Styela clava: one gene and its partner. The protein of the gene in region 2 interacts with the protein of the main gene of each other region in a pairwise test. Links are inferred from orthologs where the notes say so. Each region holds a gene or a part of one and is shown on either strand. Other genes may lie near its edges.

Evidence for each region. The genes of interacting proteins can lie anywhere in the genome.
Region 1: the proteins of DNA replication complex GINS protein SLD5-like (region 2) and DNA replication complex GINS protein PSF2-like interact in a two-hybrid assay, tested with the Drosophila melanogaster proteins (2 studies listed by BioGRID). The link is inferred for Styela clava from reciprocal best matches to the Drosophila melanogaster genes Sld5 and Psf2.

The regions. Positions count from the first base shown.
Region 1 is NC_135252.1:9,323,420-9,330,674, reverse strand, and holds DNA replication complex GINS protein PSF2-like, read left to right. Parts: upstream 1-4,378; 5' UTR 4,379-4,383; coding exon 4,384-4,520; intron 4,521-4,560; exon of another isoform or gene 4,561-4,838; intron 4,839-5,248; exon of another isoform or gene 5,249-5,342; coding exon of another isoform or gene 5,343-5,395; intron 5,396-5,884; coding exon 5,885-6,449; 3' UTR 6,450-6,745; downstream 6,746-7,255. Other genes in the region: mitogen-activated protein kinase kinase kinase 1-like, read right to left, coding at 1-210, 749-890, 1,943-2,089; guanylate kinase-like, read right to left, coding at 7,243-7,255. UniProt on the Drosophila melanogaster protein: The GINS complex plays an essential role in the initiation of DNA replication.
Region 2 is NC_135258.1:9,240,153-9,247,685, reverse strand, and holds the start of DNA replication complex GINS protein SLD5-like, read left to right. Parts: upstream 1-4,434; 5' UTR 4,435-4,526; coding exon 4,527-4,628; intron 4,629-4,777; coding exon 4,778-4,903; intron 4,904-5,879; coding exon 5,880-6,052; intron 6,053-6,722; coding exon 6,723-6,811; intron 6,812-7,310; coding exon 7,311-7,498; 3' UTR 7,499-7,533.

The DNA of each region.
Region 1 (7,255 bases), on a different chromosome or scaffold from region 2:
CTCTCACTCTGTATGTCATAGCCCCACGATGGATAGGCCGTCTAATGTGTTGTTTTTTCAATTTCTCTCTGATATCGGATTCCTCAATGTGCTGTTCTAACCGCAATGTGGGAGGAACAGAAGCGTTTTCATCTTGATCTTTTTCTGCAGCCTTGGCATCATTATTTGATTCTGCCACACTTGTTCCAGTATTGTCTGATGAGTTATGCTCTACAAAATAATATAAATTGCAAAAGTGGACTTTTTATAATTTTTTGGTGCCGACAATATTAACAATTTTATTATTAATAATTGTTGACAGTGCATATTTTTGGGAGCCTACATTATTAAAATAAATTCAATACAACATGGCAAAATAAGATGTTAGTGCTCTTTCAGCATCCTAGACATTATAATAGTAGATCAACTGAAGTGTTAAATAAATGCTATGAAGAAAATTGGCGATTCGTGAGAATCTCAATGATATGGTCTACTATTTTATCAATGTTAAATGCTTCATTTGTGGTTGAAAATAAAGAAAATAATGCCTGATTGTTTACAGTATGATTTTATTACAGCTCTTGCTGCAAAACGGAACATGAAAATTGTTTTAGTTAATCATGGTGTGGAAATTGTGTCTAGTAGATGCCTGTCTCGCACTTTATTGAATAATATTTTTCAAATCAGAGAGAGTTGTTTACATGGTTCTTCAATAGAGTCAAATGACAGGTAGGCCCAATAGGTTGATAAACACAATAAATCAACGCACCCTGGCGTCTAGAGTTCCCAGATCTCATTTCTTTACCAATCACGCTGTTCAATAAATTTCTTGCTGATGGAGGAGCAATATGTCTCGGTGGGTGATGTTTCTTCTCTGGACTGCTGGAACTTTGTACTGGAATGCCAGTTTTCTAAATAAATAATAAAACTTAGAAAACTGAATCAATTAACACAAGAATTAAGGAATATTTCCAATAAGGTTTACAAAAAAAAAAAAAAAATTTAAAGGTCTAAAGTAGACAGACAAATATGGTTTATTAGATATCCATATTCATATCTTCAGCCGTAATTTATAAGAATTATACTACCAGTGATTATCCCTGGGTTTTGGTCCACTAAAAATAAGATTGAAATGACAAGATAAACAATAAAATGGATGTCAATCTCAAAAGATATATATTATGTTCAAATAAATTTGCTCGCCTTTTCGAATCCTTTTAATACCGGAAAAGATTGATCAACTCAACACTAAATTGTTCAAATTAAATTTCTATTTATGGAAAAACTATTTATAAATAGAATCTTCTAATAAGTAGTATGTAATTCAGTTTATATTCAATATGAGCAAGAATTATATGAAAAAATCTCAAACACATAGATCATGGAGGTAAAGGGGTACACAGGTTTGTATCAGAGCCCCAAGTTGATTCTTACTAAGCACAATTTGGAGTGGTTCAAACAGAAAATAATTTTACCAAATTGCAAAATTACGATCTAGAACTATTTCCTCCTGGGATAAGAAAACCATATACTGGGAAGCATAATAGTTAAAAACAATGATATGTTTATCCCTTATTAAGTATATTTATATTCAAAATAATTACGGTACTTTATTTATAGTGAATGGATTATTTGTATCAAATTTTTCAAAAATCCAACCTATTTCATGAAGAAACAATTTTAGATACCAAATCAAATCACAATAAATTGTACGGCCATACGGACGTCATTAGCATGACAGAGACAGACAAGTGATAAGTCCATTCATAGTCAAGAACTAATCCTTCACTTCCAATGGTAATCCTCTTAGTAACACTAGATTTTCACCTACCCAATGTGAAGATTTTTTCCAATCTATAATGTAGTAGGCCTAATGGTTTCAGTGAGAGCTTTCTATGTGCAAACCTAGAAAATGGAAAATTAAAGTGCCATATTTGTGCAAAATACAAGCACATTTTCTCACCGGTCTAGCACTATGGTGAGGTTGACTGGTACGTCCTGCCTGTTTGCTTACAAATTGTTTCCTCATCATTTCCAATCTACTTCGTGGATGTCCATTTCCTGTGGTGTTTGATGTAAAATTGTTGTTTGCTGAGTCCGTAGTATCCATTATAGGAAGCAAGAGTAATTGGTAGAAATTTTTGAAATGTTAAAATTTATGTTACACCATCCTTCAAAAGTCTTTTAAGATTTATTAGGTCATTCTATCTACATACTTAATCACAGGCTGTAGATAGAAAATAAAAGTATAAAAAAAATTGAACTAATCCAGATTTTGATATTCTTTACTGAATATGAACTTTTGAACTCAGAATATAAGAGACATAAATGATATCAATATGACACCTCATATAGTATTCCAATTATGTTCAAGCAATAGTTGCCTTTTTCTGAATATGTTACTGTACGGCACAGTTCTCAAATTCCAAGAATATCCCCTACAGTAAAAGACATCAATTTTGACAGTGAGTGCGAAATCCTTCTTTAGGAGGCAGTCTGGGGTTTCATATTGGCACAAATCAGCAAACCGCAACATAAAATTGGATTCCTCTGATGAAATATTCTGATTTACAGAATGAAAATATTTTTACCAAAACTGAAAAGGCACGTCACAATTGATTTAAATTATCATCGAAACATGCATGGCGTGATCTGGTGCATCAGATGCACTCGCTTTCAAGACATATAGAGTATTTGTTTTCTTGAAATTGAAGAACTATTCCCTACTTTGCTTTGAATCATATATTTATTAACATATATTTAAAACTTTCCTAAATATTTCCAAAATCAATAATTTAATGTATCAAATATTACTTTAATGTATGAAATATTACAAAAAATTTCATTCGCGAGAGACAACTACGAATTCAAAAAGCACTACTCAACTGTACCAACTAAACTAGAAATTATAACTTAAAGTGAAATGAGTTCAAATAAATTAATTGGCTATTAATTGGCTACCTACATTATTAACATGCTCGCCTATCTAATTAACTTCCAAGAATCCAAGACACTCTACAAACTATAAGTGAGGTGTTTAAATGTTTTAATTAATGATTACTGCATAAATATACAGACAAGTGATACGGCAATACACAAAAGGGATAAAAGTGAATAATCTTGAAGACTATGTGAACAAAACCATGAAACAATATATCAGTAGAGCACAGTGCTCCTATTCCAAGATATCCCGACATTTGGTTCCATAAAACGAACACTGTATTTGTCTTTGAAACGATGGTGTTTGGTACGTCGCAAATTGCGTAGATGCTTCTCCTGATAATAATTTAAATCAATCGCGACGTGTGTCGGCCTTCATGTGACCAAATTTTGACAAAACCTATTGAATGCTGTGATAAAATTCTTTTTCTTCTGTAAATCAAATTATATTTTCCGAGGAATCCAAGAGTGTCATTTTTAAATGTTGCTTTCCTTGAGTTTATTGCGCAGTTGATTTGTAGCGATATGGTGTCCCAGACGTAAAGTAGTTTTCGCTATTATAATTGATGTCTCATATTGTGAGGGCTATTCTTGGAAATCGAAGAACTGTGCCATACTGTATATAGATATCATAAACCGTAGCAGTAGACTACCGTAGTATAGAAATATCACAAACTGACAAACAAAATAAACTAAGAGCTATATATCCAGATATCTGTATGTTAACTAACCCACAGCTACATTTAGACATGGGTCATACGTTCTTGATTTGTGATTGGTATGGTACGGTACTGTACCTGTAATGCTTGCTCAATTTAACAATAATCTCTCTAATCATAATACTGTTTTTTTAATTGGCTCACTCAATGAGTGATTTTAATGAATATGCAAAAAATAAATAAATGTACAAAATAAAATAAGTCCATACTCCATTTTGAGTTCATAATCCATTTGTTGAAAATGAGAAAATAAATAATAATTCTAATGATATAATACAATAAAAAAGAAAAAAAAAAAAACTTAGCAAATGTATTATAGTCTACAATGTATTGTACATCTAATTGCTTCACATAAATTCTGCAATTTAATATCAGGTGTTTTATTTTCAAATACTGAATCCAATAACTGAATAATACTGCATAATCCAAATTTTATATCGAACTATTGATAACAAAAGAATAATTGCAATAAAATCTACACTACTTATATAACTAATACTGTTATTGTCCTTTTCTCCAATCTCAATGTAAATTCGAGGGAAACCGTAAGGGACGCCCCCCCCCCCCTAAAAAAGCTGGCAGAGCGACAGGCAAACATCATCTGAGTGTGGCGAGAGCTGAATGGCCATGTTGTTGGGTTTTTTTCACCGAGCTTTGTTGTTTTCACAACAAAAATGTTGTTCTGTGCTGCTATCTGGCGGCGAAAAAAGTAAAATTTGTTTATTGTCAGTATGGATTGGAATGGATGAAAACAGTTCATACCTCAATGGTTGCGACGCGGGATTTTCAGGATATTTTACGAGTGGTTAGGGACAAACCTGTGCCGGTATCTCAGTATGTATGTATGGATGTTTATTCGTCTCGTAAAAGCAATATAAAAGAGTAAGTACTTATAAATACTGAAGACGGGATGTATGCACAAGACCATATTGGCCTAAAACACAGATGTGCGGCATACACCCCTTTGATTTATATAAATTATAATAGGGTAAATCAAATATGTACAATATGGTCCTTTATACAGGCAGTTGTGCGAGGAGGGTGGGTGGATGCGGTAACAGGGATATGGGTGGAGTGTACAAAACTGTTTGTACAAAGGAGTTTGTTAGACAAAACAACATCTATAAATAGTATCTGTCTGTCTTGGCCAGGGCGGGAGCAGGAATCAGGAAGGAGAGAAGTTTTACTTTGCAAACTATGGTACAATTTGATTTCACGAACTCTAACGTGTGATAAATACCGGTACAGAAATATAAAACAGTGGCATTGAAATCCTGTAAATTGTACCATTGGTCAAAAATCCTATACCTGTAGGCTATACGGAGATACCGTAAAATTTGATTTGATTGAGATCTGCCGAAATAGTTTACCGTACCGGTACTGGAGGATGCAGATATGCCTAGTTAAAAATCTTTTCATAAACTGCTGCATTGATCTGCTTACAGCTGTACAAAAAGCAGTTTCTACTTGAGGGCCTGGCCCCTGCAACGTCACACTGAAGAGAGAGATTTTTTAGTCATAATAATAAATCAAAAAAGAGCAGAAAACTATAAGCAAAATAATCCGAAGTACACTATACAGCTATATAGAGAATTTTACTAAACAGATACCAATATCAGATTAATAATTAATAGCATACCCATTAATTTAATAAAATTTTGAGGTCACCACAAGTATGAATTACTGACTCAATTTTATCCGAATATGAAATTGTGGCGTTGCTGTTTCTCTTGTTTTTCATTTACATCAAATGAAAAGTAAGTTTACTGTAACCCAACCAATATCATTATACATTAGTACCACAAACAGGTAATAACTACTCATGAGAACAATTTGCAATTAAAAACTATAATGTGATCAAAAGTGATCATCTCAAAAGCTGCAAATAGTATTTTTTAATAGCATACTGTGACGATGGATTGAGACAGCAGAATCATATAGCCAGCCACAGTTTCGCCTCTGTCTTTTTCATCTCTTGGAGTAGCAATCTATTTCATATATAATGGGGATGTAGGTAGCTGTAACTTATGTATGTGAATCACCTTATGAGTTATGCCACACACAATCATCTGCCAAAATCATCGAAAGTTTTATCCCCCATTATTTCGATTAAGTTTTATAATTGCATCTATTCTAATTATGTTTAGAATATTCTGATCAATTATCATTGTTAATTCTCCCCAATCTCTCATCTAAAATCAGCCATTCCCGGATGATTAACTCTCTTGATTATTGTAATTCAACAGCATCTTAATCATGGATCATGTGGATATTGAATTTCTTGCTGAAAGAGAACATGTATCAATCATTCCCAAGTTCAATTCTGACAAAATGTTTTTGATATCGGGTGAAGTTGGACCATTTAATGTCGGTGTTCCTACAGAAGTTCCAATTTGGTTGGCAATTAATTTGAAACAGAGAAATGAATGTCAGATTCAACGCCCTACTTGGATGGAACTTGCCACATTGGAAACAATGAAGGAAGATGAAAGCAATAGCGAACTCTTTACTCCTCTACCTAGTCCTTACTTCCAGGAAATTTCCCATATTTTACTAAATCAAGCAACTGATAATATACCCCACGCTGATGGTATAAGGACTATTATTAAAGACATTTTGGATATAAGAGTTGCTAAGTTAAGAAGCAGCATAGATAAATTTGTAAAACTGAAAGCTACTTATGCCAAGCTGGATAATTTGTCACAGATGGAAATAAATACAGTTAGGGCTTTTCTAACAACTGCACTAGATCATATGCGTAACCTTGACAAGACTGAGAAATTGACAGAACAGTATGCTTCTGTGAACTAATATAAGTTTCTCGACAGCCTTCTTGACATTTCTAGTCAACAGTGGATGGAGTTGGACAGAGAGTCTGGAATACGGAAAAATGGGCATTCACCCTCCTGGATAACATAAAAATTCATCTCATCTTTATGGGATGCATGTGCCTATGTCAGGGATCAATATATCGTTTTATGTTCTGCCAACGTTAACAATGACATACACATTTTCATGCAGAATTTTTGTATTGAACAGTATTACAAAAGATTGTCACAATGCACAATTTTTAAAACTGAAATAAAACACATGAAGCACCAACCAAATTCGCATACAGAGAGACTAGGGTCTTTAGATTCGAATTGATTAGTCTAATAATGGTTATGGTTTTGCATATAGTAATTCGATAAAAGGTGGAACTAGCCTTGTTGCATAAATGTGTTTTGGCCTCATGATTGAGGAGCAAGGAAACGACTAGTTTGGATAACTGAAAAAGAGGTTTTGGCTACTGCTAGACTTGTTATTATCAGCCTTATTTAACTTTTCAGCTCTTACAGTGATTACCAAAACATCATGATCGTGTACCAAGCTTTTCATGCGATACTAAAATGATAACAAAATTTACAGAAATCAGACAGCAGAAGATAAAAAATAAAATTCTCACACTCATGATAAACTATTGTGGCATGCAGTGCACGAGTAAAAGAAAATCTAAACTAAAACTTAAAACATATTTACTACATTTATGATAAATAATATGAAACTTGCTGCAGAGGCTTCATGAATAAAAAATAAACCAATTATTTCTATATAAACTTCGTCGTCAAGAAATAGAA
Region 2 (7,533 bases):
AGACAATTTTTTAGATTGCGTTTAGCTAATTAAAAATATAAATATTTGTTATATTGATCTCGCCTGCCTTATTTTAGATATTTACTTTCCTTTTACGTATTTTCAACATGTATTTTTGAATAAAGTATACTTTCGTTTAACTATCCGTTATTTATACAGCAAGTTATTTTTGAGGTGGGGCGCGAAACTTGACAAATTCTAAAAAGGTTCGCGGCTTAAACGTTAGCGGCTTAGACGTTCCAGGCAATCTGTCTGCTTGCCTTTTGTTAACTATATATATACCTGGTAATATGTTTTATGTATTTGCCTGTGAAACATCTGCCAATCACATGTGATGTTATTTGACATCAAAGTATCTTGCAAAGTTATGCCGATTCGGCGATACGAGAGAAACAGACCAGGCAAGGACAGCAGTTAACGGATGTACAACAGCGTGTTTTTATCACTTTTATTTCACCATTTCTTCTTCACCATACTATATTGCCATGCGGTTGGGCATAAATGTAAATAAATTAACAGTTACCTTATTAATCCTTGATCGCCTCTCTTCAACTAAACTTCCATGAGTCTTCGAGTCAGGAATTTGGAAACAATCATCGCTTTAATACTATGTTAATACTATGTTCCCAAAATTTTACCTATCAAAAACGAAACGAACTAGTTTCTGATCGGTTGAAAATAAACCTTCTTTCCGAGAAAGTAATAAATAAAGATAGAAAATTTATTCACAAAACAGAGTAATTCCAAAAGCCTTTAAATAACCCAACTCAACCCAAAATAGCACAGACAGAAAAGAAGAAAAAAAAGAGAGAGAAGGTAGGAAATATAGTGGGCAACCCGCAACTATCCCATTCGAGAATTCCCAATAGAACCTTCTGATTAAATATTGCTTTATATCGGAGTCCAGATTCTAGAAGTCTAATATAAAGTCGTCGACGGGACTATCGGATAAGTTCGCAGATAGAAGACCATTCATAGCAGCAACACAACTTTTACGTTACAGAATCAACAATTGTAGCTTAAACCTAGGTTTATCTGCATTAGTATAACTGAAAGATATGGAAAAAGAGAACGCTACTTTGGCCCACGTAAATTCTTAAAATGACAAAAAAATGTTTGGATATAAACAACAAAAGAAGTGACAAGAGAAGTAATTTAAAAAAAAAATTGGGCAAATAATATCACCTGTACTATATCCGGAACATCCCAACACAACCGCATCTCTGTTGAGTTTTTAATTCATCAATTATGTAGAATGTAGATCTCATTTATGAAATGGTCCAAACATCATTGCACAGGCATATCTTCCCAGGGGTCTTTGATTCAACCCAAGTATACTCTCAATTCAATCTAGTGCTATATTATGGCCTTGTTATAACTGTAATCCATAATTTAATGAATATTTATTTAACCGTAGCTTTTGTTCCGCTCAAGCAGTTTCAGATGTCAACATTCGCAGCATGTTTACGTTCAGTCAGTTTGTATAAACACTGAAATATGTAACATGGTTAAGATGCACTATATAGGTTGAATAAAAGCTAACATAAGCTAATAGTAAGATGAGGGCAATTCGTATATATGGAATATATCCAAAGTGTAAATTTGAATACGATTTCAGGTTTCTTACTTGTTCTAACTTGGGACATTTCATTGATCTCGATCGCCTCCATTTGTTTACGTCGTCGTCTTTGATTCAATAATTACACACTAGGTATCATTTAGTATTACGCTATGGGCTAACTAACTGAAAGAATGAAATTATCTCTAATAATCATTGCTGATTTAGATTATCTCACCAATTTCAGAACTTGTAATCTCAATTCCACTTTGTAGACATTTGGATCAATAACTGTAGGCCAAAGCTTAGTTTAATTGCATTAGTACAGCTATGAAAAATGGCTGAAGATACAAGCGTTGGATTATGAAAAAATTAGCGTATTATGAAAAAGTATGCACATAAACGATTGATCCTAAAAATTCACAAACATGAAATCAATGCTCACCTGACAGCGTCAACTTTGAAAAGACCGCCTGAGCGCAGAAAATTTTTGACGTGGCAAGAAAAAAGTGTGATTATAATAAAGAAACAAAGAGGGTGGAGGAGACCGCAAAATGATGATGCTTTTTCATTCGTTATCAGGAATCACCCCTTTTAACACTATATAGGGCACTCATCAGATCAATTTTGATGTATGGCATTGAAGCATACCATTTTACTTCGCCATATATTTTACAGAAGTTGCAAAAAATACAAAATACGTGTCTACGTATTTGCGGTGGCTCTATGAAGAGCACTCCAATAATATCACTTCAAGAGTCTTGTAACGAAATGCCGCTCCATATACAACATCTTAACTGTTGCCTTGCATACAAATGCTTGCTCCTTTCTCACAAGGATCATCCTAATGAATCACTCATTAAGCAGTCTTGGCATGAGTACTATCCAGACTCTGATTCTTTTGTAACCTTTAATATGCTCTCGACCTCTCGAATTTTTTCTAACATAGTTGTCAACAACACTAAATTTTTTCCCATTCCACCCTGGAATATGCCTCCGCCTGAAGTGGATACAGTTTTATCAACTATGTCTGTTACATACAACAATCCTACTGTTTTTGTGTTACAATGTTTGGAGTATATTGAAATGGAATATCCAGGTTACCTGGAGATCTATACTGACGGTTCAAAATCTGAAACTCGCTGTGGTTCTGCTTTTTTTATTCCAGAATACGAATTTTCGAATAAATTCCGCCTCGATCCATTATCTACTTCCTACTGTACGGAATTATATGCCATATATCGAAGTTTGATATGGATATCGCAAAATAGGCCTTCAAAAGTATTAATATTGTGCGATTGTCTTTCTGCCTTGGAAAGCATTCAGGATATTTGGAATGTTAAACATTTTTTATCAACAAAAATACAACTACTTTATACTATTATTTGTCACACGACCGATATCAAGTTTCTGTGGATACCAGCACATATTGGTATTAGCGGTAATGAGGCAGTGGATCGACTGGCGAAAGACGGAGCAAATAAAATTGTCATTAATGCTGTTCTTCAACGGTCTTTAAAAGAAGCTAAGACATTGTGCAAGCAAGCATGTCTTGCGAAATGGAATTTAACATATCAAGCAAACGATACTGCAAGCCATTACAAAAACTTTCGACCTCACATAGCCCATTAAATGATTAAGAAGAAATAATATTTTTTCGTCTTCAAACTGGACATATCAGACTTAACTATCATTTATTTAAAATAGGGCTACATCCCACAGGGCAATGTAGTCGATGTGACACAAATGAAACTGTTTCCCATTTTATTTTATATTGTCCCAAGTATAATAATTTACGATGCGAATTAAGACGTGAAGCAGCAAAAATGAATGTACCCTGGGAAATTATTAGTATTTTCAATGTTCCTAATTTGATTCCAATAATTATTAAATTTGCTATATCCACCAAACGAGAGTTGTAAACATGTTTTTATTGTATCATTCTGACTACTCCTTTTGAAATTTGGCGTAAAAGACCGAGTTGTCAAAGACGCCATTAAACCCTTTACCTTACCTTACATGTCTAGGCGACGTAAGAAAATAGCGAAACAACACTGAATAGAGCGCGAAGCGCGCAGTAGAGCGCAGAAGAACGCGAAACAGCGCAGAAGAGAGGGAAAGAGCGCAGAAGAGATGAAAACACTTTTCTTTCATTATTTGTTAGCGTCCGTGAAATTTTAAACAATTTGATGGGAAACAGTATACAGTGGTAGGGAATGATCACGAGTACCGGTATATATCCGTAATCTTCATCATCTTTAAATTGAATTCGCCATCTAGAAATACGGTCGCCACCGCAATTCTGATCACCCTGGTAGTTTCACAGATTCCAATACCATGCGGGGATAGTTATGTGCGATAGGGTTGCAGCTCTCCTCTCACTGAGGGTGGTTCACACGACGGCTGGTCGGTTACGTTACAACATCCCCCACTATCAAGTACATGCATCTGAAACAAATACCTGACTAACTAATCCCATACGGTATAGACTGGACAAGAGGCAATAGTTTACTATATGATTGAGTCGTATTATCGACCTTCCTCCTCCACCGGGATGGTATGGAAATTCAATCCTATCCCAGAAATGTACACTTGGCGCCGCAAGATGAAGCGCGCGAATATTCTAAGGGAATTCCCCAATGCGAGAAATCGGCTTGGTTATCTATCACAGGTTTCGCTCTGCAGATTAGTTCAAAAAAATAAAATAAAATTCACTAGTGTCTTGAGGTTGCTGGATTAAATGTCATCTCAGTAAATAATAGCTTATGCTATTGGTAAATATTGGTAAAACAGTAAAAGGTCAGCTGTTAAGGGACCTCGCGACGTGAGTGTTCGACAATCTCTCCCACATAACTGGTGTATTATTACAGTATTAATACGAGTACGAGTTTAAGATGTGCATATCTTGAGTCTATGAGTATTGTATGTTTAGATACCGGTAGTAGCCTAGTTATTGCTATAATAAAATATGGCCGATGATCTGAATATCAGTGATATATTGGCTCCTAATCAAAGTGATGCTGAGGAAGAACAATTGACAGCCGCAGAAGTATTAAAAAAGTTGGAACAGGTAAATTGGTAAAGGTCATACTGTCATATAAACATTTCTATTAACGCATGTTTAATCAGTTGCTACAAAATGTAAATTACAAATGACATCTCATATTCAAACGACTGTAAGATAATTTTTTAGTTTTTTGCATTTTCAATTTTTTGCAGGCATGGCAGAATGAAAAACTTGCACCGGATTTATTGGAATGTAAATCTGAAATTGTTGAATGCGTGATGGAACTTGTTGCGGAAATGGAAGGAAATTTGAAACAAGCTAAGAAGGGGGATATAAAGGTATGCTGTTTTATCGACATGTCAATTCAGGAAATAATATATTGATGTATTCAGAATTCAGAAGTAAATATGTGCATTTGATAAAGTCAGATGTATTTTTTTTTAATTTTTTTTTTTAAATTATTATTTCAATATACACAAGGGAATTTTATTATAGGATTGTAGACAGATAATTTTTGGATGACATTGGCTTATTGTGCATTAGGGTTTTGAATGAATTTGAATCAACTTCATTACAACAGTAGTTAACCCTTTCCATGCGATTTTTATTTTTTATTAAATAATCGTATTTGCTACGCCGACTTTATGCATTTGTACCCCAACAACTAATCGATCGACTAACGAAAAAGTATTGATCCTCTGCTGCTCACTGACGGCTCGTTGGAAAGCTTATTTAAAGAGCTTGCAATTGGCGATTAAAATTTTTTTTAAAAGGGGTGGTCTGAGTCACAAACCAGATAGAAAAAAGGCATTTTTTTCTTGGGTGTTGAAACTTCAAACCGTGATAAAAAATAGAAATATTCGCTAAATCCTCTACTGTTACCGCTTCTTGGTTGGCAAACAATAGCATAATATTGCTGTAGCAATTTCGTTATCTAACTCAAAATACTTTGGTAGATGGAAGGGATAATATGTCTTCTATTACACCCAAACACCCAAATTTGCATAAATTTCAAAAACACTCCCTCGTTCCGCCGCAAATAAAATTTCCATGGTAAACGAAAGCGAGATTTACCGTCGCCTATGTTAATCTCGAAGACTTATCAATAAACTAAAATCCGGAAAAACTAGACCAACAGTTTGCGACCGATTGCTAAATAAAACAGTGGAGTACATCAACGTACCCGCCGCAATCTAGCGAGTTTTGTCATGGGTACGTATACGTGCCCACCGCACGGAAAGGGTTAATGAATGTTTGTAATATGTTAATGGGCCTATTTCTTTCATTTGTCATTTATTATTGTTAATATTTTAGGTTAGTATTCACAGAATGGAACTGGATCGTATACGTTATGTTCTGAGTAGTTATCTGAGGTGTAGACTCAAGAAGATTGAGATACATGGACCAGTATTTCTTGAAAGAGAAAAAACAAGATCTGAAGATGAACCATCCAGATTATCTCCAGAAGAATTTGCTTTTGCAAAAGAGTGAGTCGTTTAATTCTGAATTATAAATCACTGTTGACCTGATTTTAAGTTGGGATCGTGGAGTCCTTGATATCCATTTTCCATCAATTTTATTTTACCTATGCTCGGGGGTAAGACAGAGTGCTTCATTGGTAAATCTCCACTTGACGAGGTAATGCCATTTCGTGTTATTATAAGCATCTTTATTTTTATGAATGTTTGTCATACATGAATTACGTGTGTATATTCCACACCATTTAGTATAAAAGAGCTGAGGAACCTGGCAAGGTATTGAGCATTGCATTTTTTTTTGAAACATTCCTTCCTCACTACACTTAAGAACTCTGCTATTGTATGTTGTTGGATCATTAGCAAATGATATGCGTAACTTGCAATCTGGATTTTTCAATATTTTGAATGATTGTATGACTAGATATTCCAAAAATGCTAAAAAAGTCATCAATTTCAAAGTAAAATTTCTTTCCAAAAACAATCAAATTTATCTCCAGGTTGGATAAATTGTCGACCTAGTGTGTCAATCCACGTTTTTTGGACTCATTAAACTTCTCTACTTGACTGTACCCGAGTTACTTCAATTGGACATTAAAGTTTATTATGTCCTCCAACCCAATTATATATATACGTAAGGTGTATTGTTGATGTTGCTACCTGCAGCTTTTGTTTTGTTCAGGCTTTCTGCAAATATAGAAACGCATATGAAAACAGTTGCGCTCAATCATATGCCAAGAGTAATGCAGAATGTAGAGCTTTCAACAACAGGTGAGAACACTGTTTGTAGCTACATTTTTGTCGCAGTTCAATTGTGATAGCCAGAAAATTTTAACCAAGTGTGTGTGTGGATATTGTGTAAGAGAGATTTACAATTTCTGTGGTCAATGAGTGGTTTTTAACTTGTGTTATGAGGGTATGACCATACCTGACAGTATATCTCATTACTGGACACATTGTGTATGGGACGATGATTCTAGTTGGTATATTTTTTCAATGGGACTCACAAGCTATTGTTCGATTTGGTAGCTTGTCTGGGAATATGTAGTAGAATGAATTATATATACAATTTTTACAGCCTAATTAACGATTCTTCATCTTCCAAATTTAGTAACACCAAATTTAACCATATAAGCATTTATGGAGTGAAAAGTGAAATTTTACATGCTAACATTTTCTCTGTGGCAGAATAAAATGTACTTGTGCATAGTCTGCTACAGAGCTTGAGGTGTACAAATACCCTTATTAAAAAATTTCTATTTCGTTACAGTTCACGCACCAAACCTCGACCATTATGTATTCCTAAAAGCGATTCGAAAAGAAGATGGTGTTATTGTAGAGGAAGACGCAGATGATCAGACATCAGATAGAGTAGATTTAGATGAAGGATCACAATTTTTAATCAGATATAAACCTATTGCTGAACTGGTACAAAATGGAGCTGTGATATTGTTATGATTACTGATGTTGATAAGGACTCATGGCAACGCGCA